Linked DNA regions of Lonchura striata. The protein of the gene in region 1 interacts with the protein of each later gene in a biochemical or structural test. Links are inferred from orthologs where the notes say so. Each region holds a gene or a part of one and is shown on either strand. Other genes may lie near its edges.

What was found.
Region 2: the proteins of EED (region 1) and PPP1R8 form a complex in vitro, tested with the Homo sapiens proteins (2 studies listed by BioGRID). The link is inferred for Lonchura striata from reciprocal best matches to the Homo sapiens genes EED and PPP1R8.

What each region holds. Positions count from the first base shown.
Region 1 is NC_134604.1:34,842,129-34,854,537, reverse strand, and holds the start of EED (polycomb protein EED), read left to right. Parts: upstream 1-5,939; 5' UTR 5,940-5,959; coding exon 5,960-6,076; intron 6,077-8,865; coding exon 8,866-9,018; intron 9,019-12,409. UniProt on the Homo sapiens protein: Polycomb group (PcG) protein. Component of the PRC2/EED-EZH2 complex, which methylates 'Lys-9' and 'Lys-27' of histone H3, leading to transcriptional repression of the affected target gene.
Region 2 is NC_134628.1:5,417,565-5,430,081, reverse strand, and holds the start of PPP1R8 (nuclear inhibitor of protein phosphatase 1), read left to right. Parts: upstream 1-6,483; 5' UTR 6,484-6,546; coding exon 6,547-6,602; intron 6,603-12,517. Other genes in the region: STX12 (syntaxin-12), read left to right, coding at 382-487, 936-1,008, 1,177-1,259, 2,613-2,702. UniProt on the Homo sapiens protein: Inhibitor subunit of the major nuclear protein phosphatase-1 (PP-1). It has RNA-binding activity but does not cleave RNA and may target PP-1 to RNA-associated substrates. May also be involved in pre-mRNA splicing.

The DNA.
Region 1 (12,409 bases):
GACAAAGGCAAAAGCTGCATTTTTGAAAATTGTGTTAATTTATCCATGTATTTTTTGCATTAGCTGCTCCTTTGGTGACACAGAACAGACAGTGTAGCACAAGGCCTGAGTCTGTACAGTTTTCCCTACAGACTGGCTGTGTAGTAGGGTGGCTTCTGTAACAATATTCCCTGGAGACATCCAAGCCTGCCAAAGGGGCTCCAAGTGGTAATGGAAGCATGTGGCTTCCATGGATGCTTCTGACCTGTTGTATCTTTCCCAATTTGAATGCAAATCTTTGTGGGGATCATCCTTGTAGTGTTTTTGGGAAGATGGGGAGAAAATTCTAGGGAGGTAACTTCACATACTTCTGCTCTCTGTACAGATGGCAAGTGAAATACAGTTTAGCTGAATGTTCGTTTCTTATCCTGGTCTTTCAGATTCTTTGGTGTTATGCTGATTTAGTGCTTTACTATTCACACTTCTGTGGACTAGTTCTGGAATGGTCAATAGGATGGACAGCAGCCCTTAGCATTTAGAACATTTTTAACTGCTGCTGTTTCAGGCCACACCAGCAGGTGAATTCCTGTTGATGGCAGAGGTTGCATCACAGAATCTTTATTGTACTTCATCACTGAGCCAGTGTGTGGAACTGTAGGTCTCCCCAATTCTTCTATAAACTGGACTCCAAAGTCCCTTTGTAAATATGCTTCATGTACTGTAATGTGGCTGTCTGGTTCAGTGGGAGCTCCTTCACATGCAGAAGAAACTATTCTGGAAGAAAGATCACTTTAAAATAGGCTAAAGGCTCTGTTCACATAAGCTGTGGGTCCATGAGGATTTATTTGGTGACAATACTGGTTTAAGTAATTCTGGCTTTTTTTCCTGCCACCTCCCTCTCTTCCCACCAATTGTTCTTGCGCCACTCCCTGCAGTGACAACAGAGCTGTTTGTGTATTACTTTGTGAACAAACAAGGGAACTGATCTAATACAACAAAATAGAGATGTGCTCCTTGTTTTCTTCTGCCAGTTCACTTGACTTGTGTGATTCTTTACACAGCTACGTAAATCACTCCTTGGCAGAGGATAGAAGGGCAGGTGGAAGCAGGGGAAATTAGGTGGATGGAGTGGGATGGGACTGGTTGAGCCACGCTGTTGCTGATCATGAAGGCACAGACTAAGATGATACTTTACTGACATAAAACTGCATGTTGCCCCTCTGCCATCATGGCAGCAGAGCTGTTAGAGCAGCATAGAGAATCCTACACCTTAGGTCAAACCTTTTCAACACTGAAGATAAACCATAAACTGAAGTGGCACACAGGCAGATTTCAGGACATTGCTGAGCTGCAGCTCACCACTACCATTGGGATGAGATCTTGTTTCTCTGCCATCTTTCACTCCTGGCTGCAGCTTCCTTTCTGGTGGTCATCAGAGAATTTGCATTTGTCTGGTTTTGCCCATTAGCTAAAGACAAAGGATCAAGTTACTTCATGCTTGATCAATTTTCTTCTGGGTTAGTGAGCTGAACTTGCTCATTGAGAGTGTTTTGAAAAGCAAAGCCCATGGAAGAGCAGTGGTGGAAAACCAGAATTAGGAACATGAAGAAGGTTTGGAAAGGGGGTGGGTGAGATATCCTTCCTTCAGTACCACTGAGCTGTCAGATCAACTCAGCTGTCTTGTCTTCTGATTCAGATCCATCTTCCATTTTAATGCAGGTTTTTAGCTCTAGCAGATGGATAACGTATGTAAGCTTTATCCATATCATCTTGAACTCCTGCAGCAAGATTTAAATGTGTGAGCTGTTCCTTGCTTTCAGAGTATGAGTCAGCCAAAGGTTTGACCCATTAATCTTTCAAAAGTGAGAGGGGGGAAAAGACTGCAGCCTTTTCTGGCTGTTGCAGTCCCATTACACAAAAGGGATGCTATGGTTTTTCATGCAGATGCTTTTCCAATTGGTTTCTAATGTTGCTGTTTTCATGAGGCAAAAACTACGTTAGCAGTCAGACTTAAAAACTGAACTGGTATTCTGAAAATCCAGCCATGTTTTCAGACTCTTAATAAAAACACCAGTAAAACAGCCTCTGTAATTGGGGATGGACTGACAGGGCTATTGGCAATACATGGAGCAGAACAGAATCCACTTTAGTTGCCATGGCTATGTTTTCCTGACAAACCCACAATTTTAAAAATTACTTTTATCCAGTTAATTCAGTAGTTTTCATCTGTAGACACAGAAAAACCAATTAGTAACAATACTAAGAAACACTTTTTATAGAACAGATCCTGGTATCAGGTAATTTAGCTGTGGGGCTATCTCTGCACAGAGGTAAAATACTATGCTACCTAAGGCAGCATAGTACTGGGGCAGCACAAAGGCCAGGCCCCCTTTGTTAATGAAGGAGCTCTAAAGAGCCAGACTTAGATGCTTCACTGAGTAACAGGAGAGGCTGGAAGAAAACAGGTATTGCCTGGGCAAAATACCACTCCATGCTCCCTGTGTCAGTGGGAACAAGAAGCTTGTTATCAAGGACTCTACTCTTTGATGTCTGCCCACTAGCTCATTATTTCGTATATCCTCCATTCCCAGCACAGCACAGCCCCTTCATCTTTAAGTTGGCAAAATTAAGGGCTACCCACACAGTTAGAAACCCTGAGCTAATTCTATGACTCTTTCTTACATATCGTCTACTGCCTACTCTTGGAGACAAAAGTTCTCAGCCACCAGGAACAGCTGATTGTCAAAATCACCACTAGAAGAAGGCAGAAGGTATGTGGACTACCTGAAGCATATCAAGGAAGAAAGACACCAGGGGAGATGTCTTGCTAGACCTGCCACAAACAAAAGTGAGCTGGTCAAAGATGAGGCTGCAGCAAATACAAGATTGTAGAGCCGAAAATCTTGAGAGACATTAGCAGTGCAAATATTAGAATCACAACCCTGGACTTCAGGAAAGTAGATTTTGGCCTACTTGGGAATCTTTTTGGCAGGATCCAATTGCTATGGGGCTCAGGGCAGGTGGTTGATCTTCAAGGAGAAGCTCCTCTAAGAAATTAAAGAGCAGTCCATTCCAATATGCAGAAAACCAAGCAAGTGAGGCAGGAGACCAGTGGGGATATATTAGGAATTCCCAGCTGAACTCCAACACGACAAGGAAGTGTATGAAAAGTGGAAGCACAGATGGACTGCCCAAGAAGAATACAGAGACATTGCTTCAGTGTGTAGGGCTGGTGTTAGGAAAGCCAAAGCTCATCTGGGAGATGAAACCAGAGAGGCAAAAGTTGTCAGGAAAGGCCCCTATAGGTACAGTAGCAGCAAAAGGAAGGCTGAGGAACATATGGATCTGCTGCTCCATGGAGCAGGGGCAGACACAGTCACAAAGGACATGGAAAATGCAAAGGACACAAATTGAAGCATGTGAATTTCTGATTAATTACAACTTTAAAAAATGATTACCATGAGGGTAATTAAACACTGAACACAGAAGACCACAGTGGTTGCAAAATATCTTGTGTTGAAGGAATTCATAACTGGACTCAGTTAGGCCTTGAGGAACTGGCTTTAACCAGCAGGGGTTAGAGATGATGAGCTTTGGAGGTTCCTTCTAACCTCCAGGATCCCATGATTCTGTGAAGAAGCTTATCTGGTAGAGAATGAATGAAAAGTGTGAGACTGATTTACTTTCAACCCATATATATATAAAAGTATTTCAATGTCCCTGAATGATCCAGAAATATTGTGGTATGTATTAAAAAAACAACAATCCAAAATCAGACTATCTATTAAGACCCCATGTCTTCGATGCATTGCAGAGTTTTTTTTGACATTTGTTATTGCAATCCTGTGAGAACCCATATTTGGCAGAGTCTTTCAATTTATATTAAATCCAGCCTTCCAAGTACCCACCATCTGTTTTTAAGTACCATTAAATCACTACTTAAAACTGACTGCAAATTAAAAAAAAAATATATATTGTTCTCCTGTTTTCCTCTACATATTATATCAAGGGCCCTATTACTTCTTAGTTAATATGTGTATGGTATTTATGTATTATATGGTATTATACTAATTAAACAAATAATGAACTATAATATATTTTTTCCTAGTACCCTTCTGGGATACAAGAAGTGCTTCTCCCATAGCACTGTTGAGAAACTGAGGCAGAGAAAAGCATGGAGGCTATCCAAAAACAATCTCAGCAGAGCACAAATTGAAACAAATTCCCTGAACTTTCAAGCTTGTGTTTAACCACACAACTAATTCTTTAAATAGAAGCTAGATGAAATGTACTATGACATTTGGAAACTGGGTTCTCCTGGTACACCAGTCTTTCATGTCTTTCGAGAAAGTGCAAGAAAAGCAAGTGGTTTAGACTAAAAAGTGTCTACAGAGGGAAGCAGAGCTATCACCTCGAGGAGGAAGTTCCCCAGCACCTAGAAGATAGGAGAAGGCACAGACCTGCCAGGACAAAGCTGTTTATATAAGGGAGATGAACTGATTGATTCTGGGAGTGGGTGGGGAACCACACTGCATAATGGCCATGAAGCACAGGCTAGCTGAGGCTTCCACTTTCCTCATGAGCTGGTGAAATGTGGTGGACTTGAACGTGCAGCTCAGCTGGCACGTCTGGAGATGTCAGCTAACAGCTGCAGGACAAAGGGGAGCACTCTTCTCCCCAGTAGTTCAAGGGCTACAGGGAGAAGTTAAAAATTCTCTCTGCTGAAAACTTTGTGCCTCCCCTTCTTTCAAAAAATTTGCAGCACAGTCGTGATTTAGTCTTAATTACAAGACACCAGTCTAAAAGAATCCTGTTGTACTCTAGAAACAAGCCTGTATATTTTCCCACAAACACTTCTAACAAAACCTCAATCTTACAGCACAGACCTACACAGGGTTTTTACCTGTAAACTTACCACCTTTTGCTATATGTTGTGCAATGCCTCATTGGAGCCTACAGTCCTGCAGAACTGTTTATTGCTAAAAACACTATAGTACACACAGCATTTGAAGTATATCTCTTCCTCTTTATCTCTGAAGTTCCTGCGAGATTAAATTTTATATACAAGGCACGGCTCACTTCTGTCACTGCCCTCAAAGCTTTTTTTGAGACTGGAATGTTTCCCTCAGGGAGAAAAGACTTGTTTCTGCCTCTACAAGTATAGCAGATAAGATGATGTGCCTGTGGGCAGATTACTTTCCCCCTTTGTTAGAAGTTGTGTGGATTTTGTTTTTTCTTCATAATTATTATGCTCTGGGACCTGTGGTTTGCGAATAAATAAATTAACAAACAAAAACCTGCAAGTGCAGTTATTTAATTTATAGCTGCAGAAGGAGCTTGCCGGGGAGTACAGAAGTAGGAAGCAGAGAAGAGCCTTTCTCTCTTATCCGGAAACACTATTCGCAGGCTGAACGACTTTTGTGGGTTAAGAGAACACCAAAACAAAACAAACCAGAAAAAACCAACAAAACAACAACAACAACAAAACCACACCAAACCAAAAAGCCCGACCCAAGAGACCCTTTGGGCACAAGGGAAGTTGGTGAGAGAGGCAGAGCGGTGGGTATCACCCGCGGCGCACGGGGCTGTTTGTTTCTCCGCCACACGCGTGCTCGGGCTACAGGCAGCGCCGGCCAAGCGCCACCACGCCGCGACCACGCGGGCTCATTCGGCTCAGCCCCCAAGACGAGCGGGGTCCCTGCGGCCCGCTGAGCCCCGCAGGCGGCGGCGGGCGCTTTCCCAGCGGCGGCAAAGGCGCTTTCCCGGCGGCGGGAAAGGCGCTTTCCCGGCGGCGGGCGGTTTCCCGGCGGCGGGAAAGGCGCTTTCCCGGCGGCGGGGCGCTTTCCCGGCGGCGGGAAAGGCGCCGCTCCGCCGGCCCGGGGGCTCCAGCCCGGGCAGCGCGGCCGCTTTACGGCACAGCCGTTCGAACCTCCGCGTCCGCGCTTTGCGGCTGCGTGGCGGTGGGTGGGGGGCGGGGAAGATGTCTGAGCGGGGAGAAGCCCCGGCGGCGGCACCGGCGGGAGAGATGCCGGCGAAGAAGCAGAAGCTGAGCAGCGACGAGAACAGTAACCCCGGGGACATGTCCGGCGACGAGAACGTGAGGCCGGGCGAGCGGCAGGCGGCGCGGGCGCGGCGGCGCGGCGGGAGCGCGCGCGGCGGCGCGGGGCCTCGCGGCGGGGGCGGGCGGGAGCGCGCAGGAGGAGGAGGGGCCGCCCCGGGCCGCCGTGAGGGGACATCGCCCTCCGGGACCCCCCGGGTGGCTCCCGGGCCGGGGAGGGCGTGAGGGAGGAGAGGGAGAAGGGGTCTCGGCCCAGCCGTCCCGGCTCGGTGGCCGCCGGAGGGAGGCCCCGGTGGGAGAGACCGGGCAGGGTCTGGGGGAGAGGCGCCCGCTGTGCTTCCACGTGGGTGAAAGTGGATTTGCGGCCCAAGCTGTGAGCGGGCGCTGTCTCGAACTCTGCTTCCAAACGTCACACTCTTTTTTAAAATTTTCCCTGCAAACCAGCAGCATTTTCCATCTTTCTTGTAGTTTTGTATCGTGTGTCTTCACTGTCACGTTGTAGAGTAACATGCAGCACGAGTTTATGTGTGCAGCCTTTTGGTGAATGAAAAGTAGGAGATGGTGCTCAAACTACTGTCAGCAGAAGGCAGCGGGGATGGCGTCTATAATCTCTAAGTTAGGTGAAATTCTAGTGTTCAGAGCAAAGGTAATGTGATTGATGTAGAATAACTTTATACCTGAAAGGTAAACTTAATCTAAGGTATCGACCAGTCACTTTATGTAGTTACTGGTGTGGAGAGGGGTTGTGTAGTTACTCTGTGTGTTTTATAATGTGTAGAAGTTTCTTTTCTGCACTTATCCAGCTAGTGAGGGAACTGGACTACATCCTCCACAACGTTTGGAAGTGGTGCTTGTGAGGTGACAGGCAAGTTTGAGATGTTCCACACCGCTGCTCTTGTTTTTTTTTTTTTTTCATAGCTTAGCAGCATTTGTGGATCCAAATGTAATTTGGTGACATATGTTCAGGCTTAATTTGTTGTCAGTTGTAGGCTATCATGGAGTGTGGAATAGGTTGCCCCATCTCTGGAGGTGTTTAAGGCCAGGCTGGATGTGGCTCTGCACAGCTTGGTCTAGTGAAAGGTGTCCCTGCCTGTGGCAGTGGGCTGGACTAGATGATCTTTAAGGTCCCTTCCAATAGAAATCACTCTGATTATATGATTCTCTGATTCTCTTATGTGGGTTGCCTCAGTGGTGAAGGGATTCTTTTTCCAAGAGTTTGTTACTGGACTCCACAACTCCTGCAAGATGGGGGATTCGGTTTAAAAGTTGACATAGTTGTGTTGATTTGGAGAAAGGGTGTGTTTTGCTCCACAGGTGTCCCGCATGCAGGTTTGTTGGTTATGTGGTAGTTGCAGATACATGGTATAGCTGCACCACACCAGCTGCCTGGTGTTCTCACGTTGGCGGTATCTGTCTAGTCCAGAGAAAACTTCAGTCTTGTCAAGTATTAAAATTCTGACATGTGCACTTGGGAGATGAGAGTTGGACAAGCTCTGATTTTTTTTTTAGGGTAAAGGAGAAGAAACAGGAAAACTTAAAAAATGTTAAATTTGGTTATGAATATTAGTGGAGGGTTGGCTCTTTTAGGGGTCCAATGTGAAGGGAATTACTCCAGATTTGGGCAGTACACTTACGGGCTTTTGTGGTATCTTTCCTCCTTTTGTCCTCTGAATGTCCTGTTTTTCAGAGTTGTTGGACAAACAAAGGCTAGTACACCTCTTCAGGCTCCTGATAATACAGACATGAAACTGGGACAGAGAATGAATGCTTGGTGGGAATTGGTGTATTAATGTTTATAGTTGACCTCATTCCATATTCCTAGTGGAGTTCCTAGCGCAGCTTTGTGAATCTCCTACAGTGACAGGCTGTTCTCTGCCTCTGTCTCCCTTAGTTCAGCTCTAGAAATTACTTAGTCTAGCATGAGATGTTTTCCCCCCACTAGTCTGATGGAAAGTGAACTATCTTGCCAGAAAAAATGGGAAAAGTTGATTTTTAACAAGCTGAACGTACTCATTTGGAAACACAGGGTTGGCAGGTACAATGCAGATGAAGGTACTGTGCTCTGTGACGGGTGATACAGGGAAATGTCCTTTTAAACAGTGCCCTGCAGTCAGACCACACAGGAAATTGTAGTTTCTGCTGATTATCCAAAGCCAATTTAAAATCTCTCAGCAGCTAGATGGGGTGTTTTGTGTATTTGTGTTTTTTCAGTTTTCACCATTCTTATCTTACACTAATGGTTGGAGGGCAAATTGGATTAGTTAGCTGATCAGAATTTAGCTTTTAGTGGAAACAAGTGAGTATCTGTGGTACAGGGGGGAGAGGAGGAACTTTGTCTTCTGATGTTGATGCTGCCCCGCTGCAGAACCGTGCTGTGAGTGGTGCTGCTGAGAGTGCACAGAAGCCTCAGAATGGCTCGGTTCTTGGTAAGGTCAAGCCTCATGTTTTTTAAAAAACAACTATTCTTCAGTTCTTCAGAAGTACTCATTTCATCTGGATCAAAGATGTTTTCTAGGGGAAGCAGCTGCTTTATCTCTAGACATTTTCTTAAGAGCAGCTACCAGTATTCTGAAGAAACGTCACTAGATCACAGTTCATAGCTCTCCCTCTTGGATTAGTCCTCATGTGATTCATGTTCTGTTTCTAGAGAGGAATGCTATTATGCTGGCATTAGATTTAAATACATGAATCTAAATAACACCAAGGCCTGAGAGATCTGTTTGTATGAATGACAAGAAGTGAAAAGGCCAAGTGCTGCAAGATTAGTTGAATTTATGCAGCAATTATGATCTCTTTGTGACAGTCTATATAATTTTGGATGTTTTCAGGATGATGCTGTTAGTATTGAAAGTGGTACTAACACTGAACGCCCTGATACGCCAACAAACACTCCTAATGCACCAGGAAGAAAAAGCTGGGGGAAAGGAAAATGGAAGTCGAAGAAGTGCAAATATTCCTTCAAATGTGTAAATAGTCTAAAGGTAGGTATGCATGAGCTTCAGGGAATGCTTGGGCATCACTTACTGGCAGCAGTGTTAATGTTGGCTGTGAGACAGCGTCAAGCTAGAGACTTTTAAATATCTTTAAGCACTTATGTTCCATGCTGATTTGAAGCAGGTACCTTTCTTTCTTGGAATAGCGAAAGTTTTGAAGAAAAAAGATACTGAGAAATAGGAAACAGTAGATAGTGCTGAAGTTAACCTTGTTTTTGTACAGTTTGCAAAGTTTTGTGTGATGCTGTGATTATATATTTCATTGAAGCTGTAGATGATAAATATAAGAAGTTGGATAAACAAGTTGAACTAGAACAAAACCTGTGACAACTCCATGCAAAACACAGAACCTGCTCAGATGTCTCTGTGCTGATAAAAAACCCAAACAAATCAACCCAACAATCTTAAGAGTAGCTTTTTCCTCACACTTAACCAGATTAGGTATTTTCTGTGCTCTGGCAGTATCATAGCTACTTGTGCAGTGCAATTTGGTTAATTTATTGTGAGTGTTGGGATCATGTGTTAGCACCTGATTCAGGCAGTGTGTATCTTCCTGTGTAACACCTGATGGTTTTAAGATATGTGGATTGATGGTCTTTATTGCTTGTTCTGCTCTTTTAGCATAGTGCTGTTTTCTTCCGCACTGGTGACAGACTATGGTGGACTGAATGAGTTTTCTCATTCGTGACTATTTTACTCTGTCAGGATGTTCTTATTTTCCTGATTCCTCAGCCTCATGTGGGATATTTATGTGGCAAGATGGGAGTTATGGCAAACTCTGTGAGGATCTGTGTAGCTCAGCAGTGGATATTTTCTGCAGAATTGCTCTAAGAGTATTTTTTCATTCCCCTATGCTTAATTGGGGAGCTGTGGTGATGTGGCTCCTTTTCTGAGCTTTGTCTTCAGGCTGCCGTAGTGAAACACTGGGGTACTTGAGCGGGAGGGGATGAAAGGTTTGGAGCGTGGAAACCTTCTAAATGAGTTTTGCCACTGGAGAAACTGTGATACGAAGTTACACTGACAAAAGTATCTGGGAAACAAATTGATCTTATTGTGTTCTTGAAGTATAAAAATTGCCTCCAGACTTTTGAGGGTGTAGGAGGAAGGGAAGTTATTTCATTTCACCAAGGTAGGCAGCAGTTCCTGTGATTCGCGTGAATCGCCCCCACGGATGGTGCCATTTGTGGCTTCAAGTCATACTTCAAACACAGACATGGGCCTTTGGACACCCAAACTTTTTACAAGTTCTGAGCTTTGTTACTCGTACTTGTTTTCTGTCTGCAGACAAAGATGGTTAGTACTTCCCAAGTGTCTTCTGGGGAAACAAAACATTCCCTCACCCCAGTGTCAATCCAGACCCCACTGTAGGGTGATCCAAAAGACCAAGCTGTGAAACTAAGCAATCCCCGACTTCCTTGGATTTGGATCAGGATCTGGGAACAGATTCCTGTGCAAGTGGAATCAAGCTATGAGGGAGTAAATGTAGCATTTCAACTAAGTGGGGTATTTTTATTAGCTTTTCTCCCCATTTCTCTTTGGTCTGAAATCAATGGTAGTAATAAGAGATGTGCATGTTAAGACAAAGACCTAAGTAGCAGCCAAATTTGGTTATTTACTTCATGATTGAGGAAGCCTCTCTTCTTTTCCTTTTCCCAGTCTTCCATACTAACTTTGCAGGTACTCTGGAGAAAACTGTAATGATTGAATGTTGTATATAGGTTTAGAAAGACACTTGTGACTCTTTGAGTACTGTGTCATATATCTCCTAGTTTATATGTTTTTGAACTATGCTGTAAGATGCAGGTATTGAAGTTAATGAAGGATCTACATGATTTAAAGATCATAGAAATTAATGTTCTTTAGGTGTGTATAAATTACATGTTTTTCCACTTTTGCACTTTTGGTTTTCCCCTCTTATTTTGTTTTTTAGTTTTTTCTTTGGGGAAACAAATATAGCCATTACTGTCTGCTTTGAGTGTTAAATGATTATGACTCAGCCTGAAAAGCTCAGTGCTTGCTAAATACGCGTTTTAAACACTACTTTGGGAGTTATTTTGAATGAAATTTAAGCATCCGGAAAACAAAAATACAACTTGGAAAATGTCAGGAAATAAAAAAACCTGCCTTTATTCTTTATGGAGTAGTATGTTACTTATGAGATGTACTGAAAAATCTTTGCTTTCTGTGGGCTGAATGGAAATAGGGTTTATAAATGAGCATATACAGCTAGCACTGTTGCATATCCTCATCTATCTATATATATTTTGCTGATAAGTCTTTTGGCAGAAAACAGTGTATATTTTGCTTTGTTGTGCTGCCTTTAAAGCAATGCAATTATTTTCCCTACCTTTTACTTCTGCTTAAGGTGTGTGATTAAGATGTAAGCAGCTTGGTGTTGTCTCAGCTTCTATTTGTTGTCCCCTGACCTGGGAACCAGCATCCAATACCACGCAGAATTCTAGCTTGTTGGTGTGTAATGGAAACTAAATGTAACTAAACCCGCTGCCCACAATGGCTTACTTCCACTTCTGGGAACTGGAAATGCATGTGTGGGTTGTTGGTTCCCCACTGGCAGTGTGGGTGACAAAGATTTAAAGGCATTCATGCAGGTGATTATTTTTGCCATCGTAATGACTTCACTGTCTAAAACCAGGTCTGATCTTACTTTTGATTGAAACCAAGTTGGTGTTGAGTGAGTAAGGCTGGAACTCACCACTGATTGTTTATTTATTTGCTTTTGTAGCATTAGGTCTGTTTTCTTGTCTTCCTTCTTTCTCTAGTACCCAAAGAAGCTGGGTGCTTTGGGTTTCATGCCCTTTATTCATAGCAGGGACGAGATGGCATTTCACAATTTTACTTTTGGACGGGTATCTGGGTCACTTCTGTCTGTACAAACCAGTGTCAGATTTGTGTCACATACTTGGCATCTGAGCATAACCATCATGTACGACACCTAGAATAAAATGTTTTGGAAAACCTCCATTGTTTAGCATTTGGGACAAAAATTAGAGCAGACAAGTATTTTCAAAATAGCTATGTGCTGTCTGACCACTGGGTATATTGGGAGTTTAAATAGGAGCAGAGCTTCTGCAAATACCTTGGTATCTTCCTGCAAGAGCCTTCCCTCCGCCTGGCTGCTTCATCCATCAAACAGCAGCAAAACTGCAATATATACAGGCAGGCTCCTGGAGATTGTAGCACTTGGTGTGAGAAATATAGTGTGGGTGAAGTAAGTAGACTAAAGACATTTGTCTCGCAGAGTAATTTTTTCCAGGGAAATAGGTTTTCTTTGAAAAAGCTTGCAAAATGCTTTAGGTATGTACTCAAATATAAAAATATGGAAACAGTATAGCACTCTGTTATATATGTCTACTTATTA
Region 2 (12,517 bases), on another chromosome or scaffold:
CTTTCACCCTGGTTTCTCCCTTTTGGAGAGATGGTAAGAAAGCAGGGATGGTACAAGTATTTTTTTTTTTTTTAAAGCAGAACTGAAATGGGCAGTTTCTTCTAAAATGGTGTAGATAACTGTTATGTTCTAGAACAGGTGTGCTATGCATGTAACTGCTTTCCAGTGTCTTCACATTGCCTGATCTGTCCTTTTTTTCAATTGTTTCAGTTTGTGATTCTTGTCACAAATTGGTCTTGTCCTTGTACACAGTGACAGGCCAACAACCTGTGGGTTGTTCTGTAGGGAAGTCTTCAACTTTAACTCATTTTGCCATAAAATGCAGCATGGAAGTACCTATGCTCAGAGAGATACAGATACTGACTTTCCTTCTCTTTCCAGTGGTGAAGATTGGAATCAGATGCAGTCTCAGGAAGAAGATGTGGCAATAACTGAACAGGACCTTGAGCTCATTAAAGAAAGAGAAACTGCAATCAGGCAATTAGAGGTGACCAGTCAATCCTGCACAGTTAACAGCACCGGGAGATAAATCAAAGGATGCAGTGTTAATTAATGGGATGGGCTGAGGAGAGCTGATGGTGGAGGAATAGAGTTCCTCTTAGAGAGGATTGATGCCAAGATGATCTCCCTGCTCCTGGTGAAGGAGGCATATTTTCCCTCAGTGTTGGCTGGTGATCCTTCAGATATGGCAGGAGCAACCCATGTTACAGTGTTCATACTGTGCTAATTGCTGGTGTGATGAAACAAATATTCAGTAGCTGGAGCATTGTAGGCTCCCATGCTAATCCCAAGTTGCACAGGTGGTAACAGCAAGTCACCTCAGTGAATGGTGGTGCCTATTCTGACCCTTTGAGTGATGGAAGAGGTACTAAGAGTGAGGATTAGAAAATATTGTACCCAGTGTTCATTGTAACTTCTTAAACTGTTGTCTTCAGGCAGACATTTTGGATGTCAATCAGATATTCAAGGATTTAGCCATGATGATTCATGACCAAGGAGATATGATTGGTAAGTGTATTTGGGTAATAAGTTTTTTCTTGGTAGAGTTACTTGTTTTGCAAGTCATGGATTAAAATTTTCAGTACTTTGCATTAAAAGTATTATATTTTTAGTTATAATTTTTAAACACTGAAGCTCTGAAATATTTTGCAATGAGTTCTCCTGTTCTTTCCATAGATAGCATAGAGGCAAATGTGGAAAGTGCAGAAGTCCATGTGGAAAGAGCCAGTGAGCAGTTACAGAGAGCTGCCTATTATCAGGTAAATTTTGTGTGCTTGCTTGATTGTCAGTGTATGGTTGAGCACTAATGAAACAGGCAGAGCAAGACACTGAGGACTGCAGCACACCAGACTGCTTATTAAAACCAGCTCATGCAAGTTGGCATTCATTCAAAATTGCCTGCAAGGAGTATATAAAGCACTTGAGTCAAAAACATGGTATTGAAATTCACCTTCTACTTTAGACTAAAAGAGTAGAAATAGGGTCTGGCCCTTCACACTCTGCAAGCCTAAGTGTTTACCTGTCTTTGTTGTTGTTAGGAGTTAGCAGAAGAAACAAGAACAAATTCTGATATCATATGCAACTTTTGAAGATATCAGCCAAGACACTGACATGCAAAAATCTGTGCCCAGACTCAGGTCTGGTCACTCTGGTGACCAGGATTTGCAGCACTCCTATCCAGCTGCTGAGCTTCTATCCCATAGTTTGTGCTCCATCAAATCTCTTGCAGTGGCTCTCACTGCTGTATGGGATCCAGTGTTTCCTGTAGGTTCCTGTCACCATCCTTGTCCCTCTAGCTCCAGCTTCTGTGAAGGGGTAAGGGTTCTGCTTTAGTCAGTCCATTACTGCTGGGACTTACACAAGAAAATACTGGACTCTTCCAAGCTGTTAAGTGGGAGGTACTGGAGGGCAATAAAACTCCAGTGCTGTTGAGTGCAAGGGTGGGAATGTTGCTTTTACCATCTGGCAGCATGTAGTAGCAGTCTCTCTCTCCATGGCTTCCTTGCCAAAGTTCTGAGGTATTTATAAATCTAAGTTTCAGAGCTGTTGGATATGTTTTGCATGGGGTTTTTTCCTGGATGGAGAAAGAAGTGGTTATATATCAAATCCTTAGATGCCAAGTTAAAAATATTTGGTGTATATGGAAGGCCTGTAGTTTCCTGTGATGAATAAAGTGAGCAAAGCTGTAAAATCCAAGTTCAGTAACTGTACATGAAATAATTTAAATTGTAGAAATGCAACACCAAGCCCAAGTGGCCAAGGGGAGATTGTATGTGAGAACTGCTTAGGAGTTTGATTAGGAAAAAATGTAAATAGCTAGAAAGGTTTGGCCTTCTCTGAGGCTTGTATTTTCATTAAGAGAAGCAAAACCTGTCAAATTTTGACTTAACTGCATCTCTTAGACCACTGCACTCCTAAAATTAAAAACATTCATCTGTAGAATCATGGAGTTTAAGGAACATGTAAAAATGTTCAGACTACACTGGTTACTTCTCTCTAACTGTGGGGGTACCAAGGGCTCTTGTTCACCCAAGTTAGTAACATGAATGGTAGCCTTGCTTTTTCCTCAAGTGTTCCTGGTGTCAGTGGCTTCTTTTTTCTTCTCTTATTAGAAGAAATCCCGTAAGAAGATCTGTATCCTGATTCTTGGCCTTGCTGTGGCCTGTATAATCATAGGACTCCTTATCTGGAAGTTGAACTGAAATCTTCCCATGGAAACCAGTCTCACAGCTGAGATTTTTTCTGTCAGAGCAAACAGGCTGACTGGTCTTGGAGCTGAATTGACCACCCTGAGAGAGCAAAAGTTGGAACTACTTCTAATAATAGATATTAGCAACTAACGTGCAGGTAACTAGTATTTGGAATTAGTAAACCATGGAGACAGTATTTATCAGTTTATATACAAATTATATTGTTTTATGTAACTAAAATCTTGTGGTTTTGCTTTCTGTAATGTGTTCTTCCCTGTCCCAGCTGTATGCTGAAATGTGATCAATAATTGGAGAGGTCTTGTTTTTGACAAGTCGCACAACTTCAACATTTTGTACACGTAGGTAACTTTGTTGGACTGGAATGCAAATGCCATTCAAAGACAGCCCACCACCAAGTCACATTATGTAAATCCAGCAGTTTCTAAAGTCTCCAGTATCTGCCCCATGGTTTTATTGTCTCCAAGTGGCTGTGGTTCTAGATTCTCTTGAAGAAAAGGATGTTGTCACAGATTTGAGAGGCAAGGAGGGTATGTGTGGATGATGATTTGAACATGCTGGTCAGTTTAGCCTTGAGACTCATAACTGTGTTTAATTTTTTGGGTGTGGTTGGGGTTGTTTTTTATTTCACAAAATGCACTTGAGGACAGAATGTTCTTTGACTTAGAATAACAGTGCAATCTCCTTAGACAAACTAGCTGGTTGCTTGCTAGTGGACAAATAAATCTCTTCCAATGCTGACTCAAGCACTAAATATAAAAAGTTTAGCTGCTCACTCCCAACTGTTTTTAGAAGCTTCCAGGGGAAAAAACACTTAAAAATGAGGAAGTGGGCACCTAAGTTTACAAGCTAGCAACATTAGTGAAGAGTGTTAGCAGAAATCTTGATTCTGAAGAAGTGCTCTTGAAGTTCACTTGTAGTGTCCTAGTAAATGTTATGTGTGGCTTGTGAACATTTGGTATTTTCAAATCTTTATGAAATAGAAAGTGCAGAAACTGGCTGAGTGAAGTGCTAGGTTTTCCAGACTGGGGAGGTGTGTGCAAATGAAAAGGGTTGCTGGTTCCAGCTCATAGGGTTGGGCAGAACCAGCAGCCACTCCCCACTTCAATGTAGCTCTGAACTGACATGCACTGGGAACAGTAATCTGTCCAAAACCCGGTGGGGGTGGTAAATGCAGTATACTGACCCATTTTGTATTTAATCCTTATTCCATGTCTCGTCTATAATAAAGTAAACATGAAAGCTGGGAAGAGTGTTCTCCCAATTGCACAGTGGTTTGCACTATTGCGCCGTCATTCCATCCAATAATTATCAATAAACACTTTTAAAAGCCTCTGTCAGAGCTCATTTCTCTTGCAATTTACACATTGGCACAGGTGTGTTTGCAGAGTAGAGGACGTTACATCAGCACAGTAGTGTTTCCTGCAGCTTTAATTCTGTGGTCCCTGATTTTTCAGAATGAAACTCCCTGAAATAATGAAATTAATTTCCAAGGACATACACAAGACTTCTGTGCAGCGTCCTGTACAATAGGTGATCCCAGAAAAATGAATCTCATACCTCAGAGCAGCATTGGGTCAGCTCTATTTGCCTTTTGCTAGAACTTGAAGCCATTTGCAAGCCTGTATGATAAAATCTGACTTGAAAGCATGTGACCTTTGTGTTGTTCTGCTCCTTTTTTAAAGTTTTCCTTGGAAATGGTAGGAGCTATTGATTTGAAACCTATTGATTTGTGCATGCCTGCTGCCAGACAGAGTCCTTTGGGTGTCACACTGCCATAGAAGAACAAAAGCACTTAGCTTTAGTTTGTTTGTTAGGTCACCACACCTAAACAGGAGCATTATTTGTGTGCTCCATCCTTCTCCTAGCCTGTTTTAGTCCCCTGGAAATTGGAATTGAGGGTGCAGGGTGCTGAGCTCAGGGTTTTTGTAGCTGCTTGACTCCTTTCTCCCCTACACAGAGGAGGGAGCCGGCTGTGCCGCACCTCTCAGCGGTTCGCGGCGCTAGAACCGGTGATTTTAACGCTCTCGTCTCACGTTCCCGAGCCTGAAAATCCGTCTGGAGAACTGGAACATCCCGTGCTTGTTACTGCAGAGTCTGGCTCTCAGATGTGCGTTCGACCCCATTCGAGGCGTTCGGGGATCCCGGCCGGCCGTGAGAGCCGGGCAGCGAGCGCGGCTGTGCCCGCCCGGGGCGGCTGCGGGCCGGGGCCGGCCGGGACAGAGGCAGAAAGGCCGGTGTGCTCGTACGGGCCGTGCCCCGGGTTCTGCTCGGACAGAGGCGCTGTCCCCGCGGTACTCGGTACCGGCACTGTCCCCGCGTTCCAGCGTCGGTACCGGGGCTGTCCCCCCGTCCCGGGGTCGGTACTGGCTCTGTTCCCCTGTCCCGGGTCGGTACTGGCTCTGTTCCCCTGTCCCGGGTCGGTACCGGCTCTGTCCCGGGTCGGTACCGGCTCTGTCCCGGGTCGGCACCGGCTCTGTCCCCCTGTCCCGGGTCGGTACCGGCTCTGTTCCCTGTCCCGGGTCGGTACCGGCTCTGTCCCGGGTCGGTACCGGCTCTGTTCCCTGTCCCGGGTCGGTACCGGCTCTGTCCCGGGTCGGTACCGGCTCTGTTCCCCTGTCCCGGGGTCGGTACCGGCTCTGTTCCCCTGTCCCGGGTCGGTACCGGCTCTGTCCCGGGTCGGTACCGGCTCTGTTCCCCTGTCCCGGGTCGGTACCGGCTCTGTCCCGGGTCGGTACCGGCTCTGTTCCCCTGTCCCGGGTCGGTACCGGCTCTGTTCCCTTGTCCCGGGTCGGCACCGGCTCTGTTCCCTTGTCCCGGGTCGGTACCGGCTCTGTCCCCCTGTCCCGGGTCGGTACCGGCTCTGTCCCGGGTCGGTACCGGCCCTGTCCCGGGTCGGTACCGGCTCTGTCCCGGGTCGGTACCGGCTCTGTTCCCCTGTCCCGGGTCGGTACCGGCTCTGTCCCCCTGTCCCGGGTCGGTACCGGCTCTGTCCCGGGTCGGTACAGGCTCTGTCCCGGGTCGGTACCGGCTCTGTCCCAGGTCGGCACAGGCTCTGTCCCCCTGTCCCAGGTCGGTACCGGCTCTGTTCCCTGTCCCGGGTCGGTACCGGCTCTGTCCCGGGTCGGTACCGGCTCTGTCCCCCGGTCCCGGGTCGGTACCGGCTCTGTCCCGGGTCGGTACCGGCTCTGTCCCCCGGTCCCGGGTCGGTACCGGCTCTGTCCCAGGTCGGTACCGGCTCTGTCCCGGGTCGGTACCGGCTCTGTCCCAGGTCGGTACCGGCTCTGTTCCCTGTCCCGGGTCGGTACCGGCTCTGTCCCGGGTCGGTACCGGCTCTGTTCCCTGTCCCGGGTCGGTACCGGCTCTGTCCCGGGTCGGTACCGGCTCTGTTCCCTGTCCCGGGTCGGTACCGGCTCTGTCCCAGGTCGGTACCGGCTCTGTTCCCTGTCCCGGGTCGGTACCGGCTCTGTTCCCCTGTCCCGGGTCGGTACCGGCTCTGTTCCCTGTCCCGGGTCGGTACCGGCTCTGTCCCGGGTCGGTACCGGCTCTGTTCCCTGTCCCGGGTCGGTACCGGCTCTGTCCCGGGTCGGTACCGGCTCTGTCCCAGGTCGGTACCGGCTCTGTTCCCCGGTCCCGGGTCGGTACCGGCTCTGTCCCGGGTCGGTACCGGCTCTGTTCCCTGTCCCGGGTCGGTACCGGCCGGGCGGGGGCGGGGCCAGCCCTCGGGGGCGTGGCCCCGCCAGGCCCCGCCCAGCGCCGCGCGGGGCACGCCGGGATCGCCGCGCGCCGATCGCGCCTCCCATGGTGCCCCGCGCCGGCTGAATGGGGCAGAGCCAAGATGGCGGCGAGCGCGGCCCCGGCGGGCGGCGGGTCCCTGTTCGAGTGCCCGAGCTGGTGAGCGGCGGCGCCGAGGGGCGGAGGGGCGCGGGGCTGCGCTCCCGGTGCCGCAGAGTGCTGGCCGGGCCGGCGGGGTCAGGGCGCGGCCCTCGGTGCCGCCATCGACAGCGCCGCGGGGGTCCGGGCCCTCCCTGGGGTGCCGAGTTTTTTCCTCAGAGCTCAGGCAGAATCCGTGTTGTGGTAGGAACTAGATATCCTGTTCGGGAGATGTGTCCGGTACATCTGTCAGCTTGGAAGTAGGCTGGGGTTTTTGTTAGCTTGAGTTCAGCAGTCAGGGCTGAGTGGAGTGCTGGAGACATCGCGCCCATGCCTTGGGCTGGGTCAGGGGTGGGAGAGCCCTCGCTGGAAGGGATCTCTGAAAACGTCCTGCCGCACGCTCCTGCCAGAGCAGAGCTTGGCATCAGGGTGCCCTTGTTCGTTTGTTCTATGTTTTGGTCATTGCTGAAGAAATCTTGGCTCTCCTGCCTTCTTTGGGTGCCGCAGCACTGGGATGGGAACGGAGGCACTGGGATGGGTACGGGGGCATTGGGATGGGAACGGAGCTTTGGGATGGGTACGGGGGCATTGGGATGGTGTCACAGCACTGGGATGGGTGTCACAGCACTGGGATGGGTGTCACAGCACTGGGATGGGTACCACAGCACTGGGATGGGTGTCACAGCACTGGGATGGGTGTCACAGCACTGGGATGGGTGTCACAGCACTGGGATGGGTACCACGGCACTGGGATGGGTACCAGGGCACTGGGATGGGTGTCACAGCACTGGGATGGGTACCACAGCACTGGGATGGGTGTCACAGCACTGGGATGGGTGTCACAGCACTGGGATGGGTACCAGGGCACTGGGATGGGTGTCACAGCACTGGGATGGGTACCACAGCACTGGGATGGGTGTCACAGCACTGGGATGGGTACCACAGCACTGGGATGGGTGTCACAGCACTGGGATGGGTACCACAGCACTGGGATGGGTACCACAGCACTGGGATGGGTACCAGGGCACTGGGATGGGTGTCACAGCACTGGGATGGGTGCTGTGGTATTTTAAATCACACAAACACCCCATCCCACCCCACCTGAGAGCTGGAGTTGTGTGCTCCAGCCCTGCCTGGCCCTGCAGAGCCCAGGCTGGCCCTGCTCACCCAGCTGTGTTGCACCTCTCAGTGCTTTCTGACAGTGCTCAGTGCATGAGTGTGTTGGCATTTAAACCAGGTTTTTAAATACCTGCTTTAGCTGGTAAAGCCATTAAACTTCTCATGGAAGAGAATTCCTCATGTATTTTAGGGTCTTATTTGTGCTGAACATACACAATAATGATCATCTATATGAGACAGGATGGTGTTCCATAAGATGATGACACAATAAACCAGTTAAAGTCAAAGATTATTCTGGATATTCAACTTGAAATTTGAAGTATCATCCATTTTTTTTCCTCCTAGTGTTTTTATACAACAGTGATCACAATATACATTATATTCCATGTAAATTTGAATTATTTGTACTTTTGAAAGCTGTAGATGGAGGAGCTGAGAGAACACAGCTTATAAAATACTCAGTCTCAGTGTCTTGCATGCTATTGTAGAAGAATTCCTAAAGAAATCCCATCTGGAGGAGAGAACTGTAACACCTGTAATTGTGAGGGCCTCTTCAGATATCTGTTTTGTGTCTTACCTGCAGCAGGGCAGGGTCTGACAGAGAGAGTTTCCCTTTTTCCTGCCCTGGTTTGGTTCTGAAGCACAGTCTGTTTTGCTGGATGAGAAATGAGGTGGAATCTGGGAGATGATCCAAACCCAGTGGTCAGGGGGGCATGTTTGGGTGCCAGGTCCTGTTCTGTTCTCACATTTTTAAGATTTTTTTTGTAATTCACTTACTGCAACCTGAATCTCCTTTTACAATAATATTCCAAAATAGTTTTGGATACAGCAAAGTTCCTGTCTGGACTCTCTCCTGATACATTGTGAGGAAACTTTTTATTTTCTCTTGGACTCTGTTGTATCCTTACACATTGTAATGGTTTTAGGGACCCAGCTGGGCAATTTGTGTGTTTGTAGCTGTGAAGTAAAGGAGTGCCTGAGACAATTTGGTCTTGTCCAGTTGGCACATGCAGACATGGCAGCTAACACCACTGAAAGCTTTGTGTTTTTCCTTAATGTTGCTTTTGAAGCCCAAAAGCTGTTTGATAAGAGGAAAAATAAAAAAGTGAGCTAGCAGGAAGCCAGTCTGGAGAGCTTCCAGTCACAGTGCTTGTGTTCTGAACAGTGAACCCAAAATGGGAAGTGTTAGGTGATGTAGACTGGTGATAACCATGGCCTCATCCCTTGGTGGAAGTGGGGAGCTCTCCTACCAGCTGGATTTATTTATTTCTGTTTACTTTTCTGTTCTGCAAAATAAGTAGAGTATATTTGATGCTAAAGCTCTGGATGCCTTCTGCTGATATTTCTGAGCTGCAGCTTCCAGCTCATGGTTTTTAAGTATTTGCTCCTTTCAGAGCCAACCAAAGAGCACAGATATGATGTGGAATCAGTCTGGGTCTTTCCCAGGTAGGATTCTCCAGGCTGGAGGTGGTTCCAGGAGCAGGTTTGGATCAATACTGGTCTTATTGAAAGCTCTGGTTTAGGAGGATATAAAGGCACCCTGCAGGAAGCCTGGTCTTAAACAAGCACCAAAAAGTCTCCTGTGAAGCATTGTAGGGCTTCATTCCAAGAGCTTTGGGTGACCAAAAGTATGGAATTGCAGAGTCTTCACAGTCAGAAGCAGATTCTTCTGTAATAAATTATCTTCCATCTCCTCAACCTCTATCAAAATCAAAATCACAGTCTTTACCTAAATGTTTATTTTCCTGCTTCTAAGGAAAGCTGGCTGGGGCCTGTGAACACCAATCATATAAGAAATACATCTTAGATGTACATAATCAAAAAGAGTAGTCTTTTTCCTGGCCTTTAATTTGTTGTCCATGCTTTTGAGGTTTGCCTCTATCATTTTACCTCTTCTTCCATAACTTGCATAGTATCTGAGTACTCCATTTCCAGAAAAGACTTCTGCACTGAAACTCCTAGTTTTCATCCAATTTGTGGCTTTGATTTAGTCTTTTTGCTGTTAAAAGTTGCTTCTTCATAATCATACAATATTTATTATTTCTTTCCTCGTGTTTCCAGCAGCTAAACTTAAGGCAGATGAAAAACAGTGGTTGCCACCTGAATAATATTTGCTGATGCCAGAACATGTCTATGCATGTACTGTAGCTCCTCTGTACCTGTTAGCCAAGATTTGGGCTGTGCATTTACAGCTGGCATAAAGAGGGTGCCACTACTTCTTGTAGATTAAAATTCAGCCATTCCATGAGATCAGAAAATGTCTTTAGATAACAATTAGACATCTTAGTTTGATTAAGAATTTTGCAAGCTTTCTGAGCTGGCTTTATGTAGTAAAAGTGATTTCTCTGAGGTACAGGTTATCTGGTGTATAGTTTTGAAGTGACCATCAGATGTTTAGTGGATACTGCCTGCCTGTCCTTTAGTCCTAGTGTAACTTGTATTTGGAATTGTGACTCTTTCTTTACTCTCTTTGACACATTAGTAGTGGGGATGTCAGGTTTGTCCTGGAATGGACATACATTAGAAATAGTTTGTTTGAAAGCAGCAATTGTTTATCTTTAGCTTCTTTGGCCAAGAACTGGCTATTCCTGGTGATGCTTTCACACAGATTTCTGGAGAGAATGAGCTCCAGAATTCTGCAAATTCCACCCTGTCCTTGAAGTTGAACATGAAGGTGTATACATGAGTCACAGAGGCCAGGATTGGTAGGAAGTGCCTAAATTTAGGTTCTGAGTCCACGTTTTGAAACCCAAATAATTGACCGAATTTTAAACTAACACAATAGAACTATGGCTGTCCTGTCTATGTCCTTTATAGCAACAATTCCAAAATTCTTGTAGTGACTTACATCAGTCAGGCTGCTGAGTTTCAGCTGGATATAGATATTATAACCCTGCTGGCAGTCAGCATTGAATCTGCACTGTGGAAGAGATTCTAATTTGAAAAACTTCAGTTCTCTTACTTGGCACATTCCAAAGTGTTCATGGCCTTGTCCTTCTTTTCCAAAATGCTTTATCTTTGTTAAAGAGACATAGCCTGGCCTGTGGAGCATGAGGTGGAGAAAACAAGGAAACCCAATTTTCTGTTTCTAGTACAGAAGAAAGATTTTGTTGCTTGTAGGTATTTAAATATTTTAAAAACCTTTGCTGGAAGCTGGTTTTATTCAGTGGTATCCCTTGTGAGTATTTACTGCTGATCATTGTAAGCAGTTGATGCCTTCTGTGAGGCCAGCAAATCCATGTGTGCAGCTGCTGTGGGAAATCCCAAGCTGGGAATGCTCCTGCTCTCCTTGCCAATCAGCTCTGTTAATTCCCTGGAAGGTTTCACATCCCCCCCAGGAGTTTCAGGATTTGGGGGGCAGTCAGAGCATCCTTGGGTCTCAGTCAAACTCACTCAGCTAGTGACCACACAGTCAGTGCATTTGCAGGTGTTATTTTCGGGTCACTTGCAGGGTGCAGCCCTGGGGAGGCACTGGGGACTGTGATGCACCATCTGGAAGGTACAGAAAAAATTCCTTCTCATTTTCAATCACAAGCACTTGTGCTGGAGCCAAGGTGTGGTAGGAGAGCGTTGGCCTTGGGGCAGTGCTAAGGGCTCTTTGTGTTCTGTAGAGAGAACAATCTGCTGGCCTCAAGTAATTCTCCATCCTTCAGAACAGTGCAGGAAAATCAGTTTAGTGGATACTTTAGCACATAGTGGAATTAGTTTAGTGGAAAAGGACTTTTTTAACATTGGACATAAAATAGGGAAAAGCTGCTCTCCTGTAACAGCATAAGGCCAGCTTTCTAACAAACTTTCTTCTAGCAGATTTTTGCAAGAGATTTCCTTTCATATTTTACTCTTTGATCCATGAGGAGAGAGGTCTGATGGGGCAGAGCATGTGAAGGGTGACTGATACTTCCAAATCCAGGCACTACTTCTGATCTTTGGTGACTCTGGAGCTAATTGGTTTTGAATATAATACTGAAAAATCTTCCTACTTTTTTCCTTAAAAGGCTTTTCAGGTATCTAACTTGGGCAGCCTGAACTGTGACATTGGCTTAAAATGTTCCAAAGAACTTTTCTGTCAGAAATTACTTCTGTGAATTTGTTTTCATGGTACCATAATCAGTATTTACAACCTTCCTGTGTTCAGTGTTTTGCAGGAATAGGTAGATGGGGAAGTCCTGCCTAGAAAGGATTATTTACAGTCCAAAAGAAGCCAGAGAATAGGTAGATTTTTCTAGCACTTTAATTCATAGCTGAAGGCACTGCCTTGTAATACTGCTGGGCTTGGTTTATCTGTTGGAAATAAAGTTGAGGGTAGAGGCAGAGTAAAAATAAGATCAGGGTGAAACTAAAGGTGAAGGGGACAGTGATAAAGCAGAGCTGGTATATAGCAAAAGAAGACCATCAGACAGGATTCAGCTGTGCTGGAGCTCTTGGGGGCTCTCCTGTGACCTGACAGGTACAGGGAGGAAGTTGCTAAAATGTGTTAGGACAGGCTGACCATTGAGTATCACTGGAAGAGATCACTGGAAAGGAAAAGCAAGAGGCTAAACTGAGTAAGAAGTAGACTTGTAGTATGAATTTGTTGAAAGGTTGACCTATTTGGAAAGAGGAAAAAAAAGTTGGGGAAGTAGCTGTTGTTGGATCAGAGTAAGGCTGGTGTGTGAAAATTACCAAAAAGTTGGGTTGCAGAGTAACCAGAACTTGGCAATTTCACAGGAAGGGGGGAAAACAAGTTTTCCAGTGCTCAGGGGCAGAAAGAGGGAATGCTGAGAAGTGGAATGGAATCCATGAAAGGAGCCTGTGTTTCAGTGGAAGCTGAGCACTGA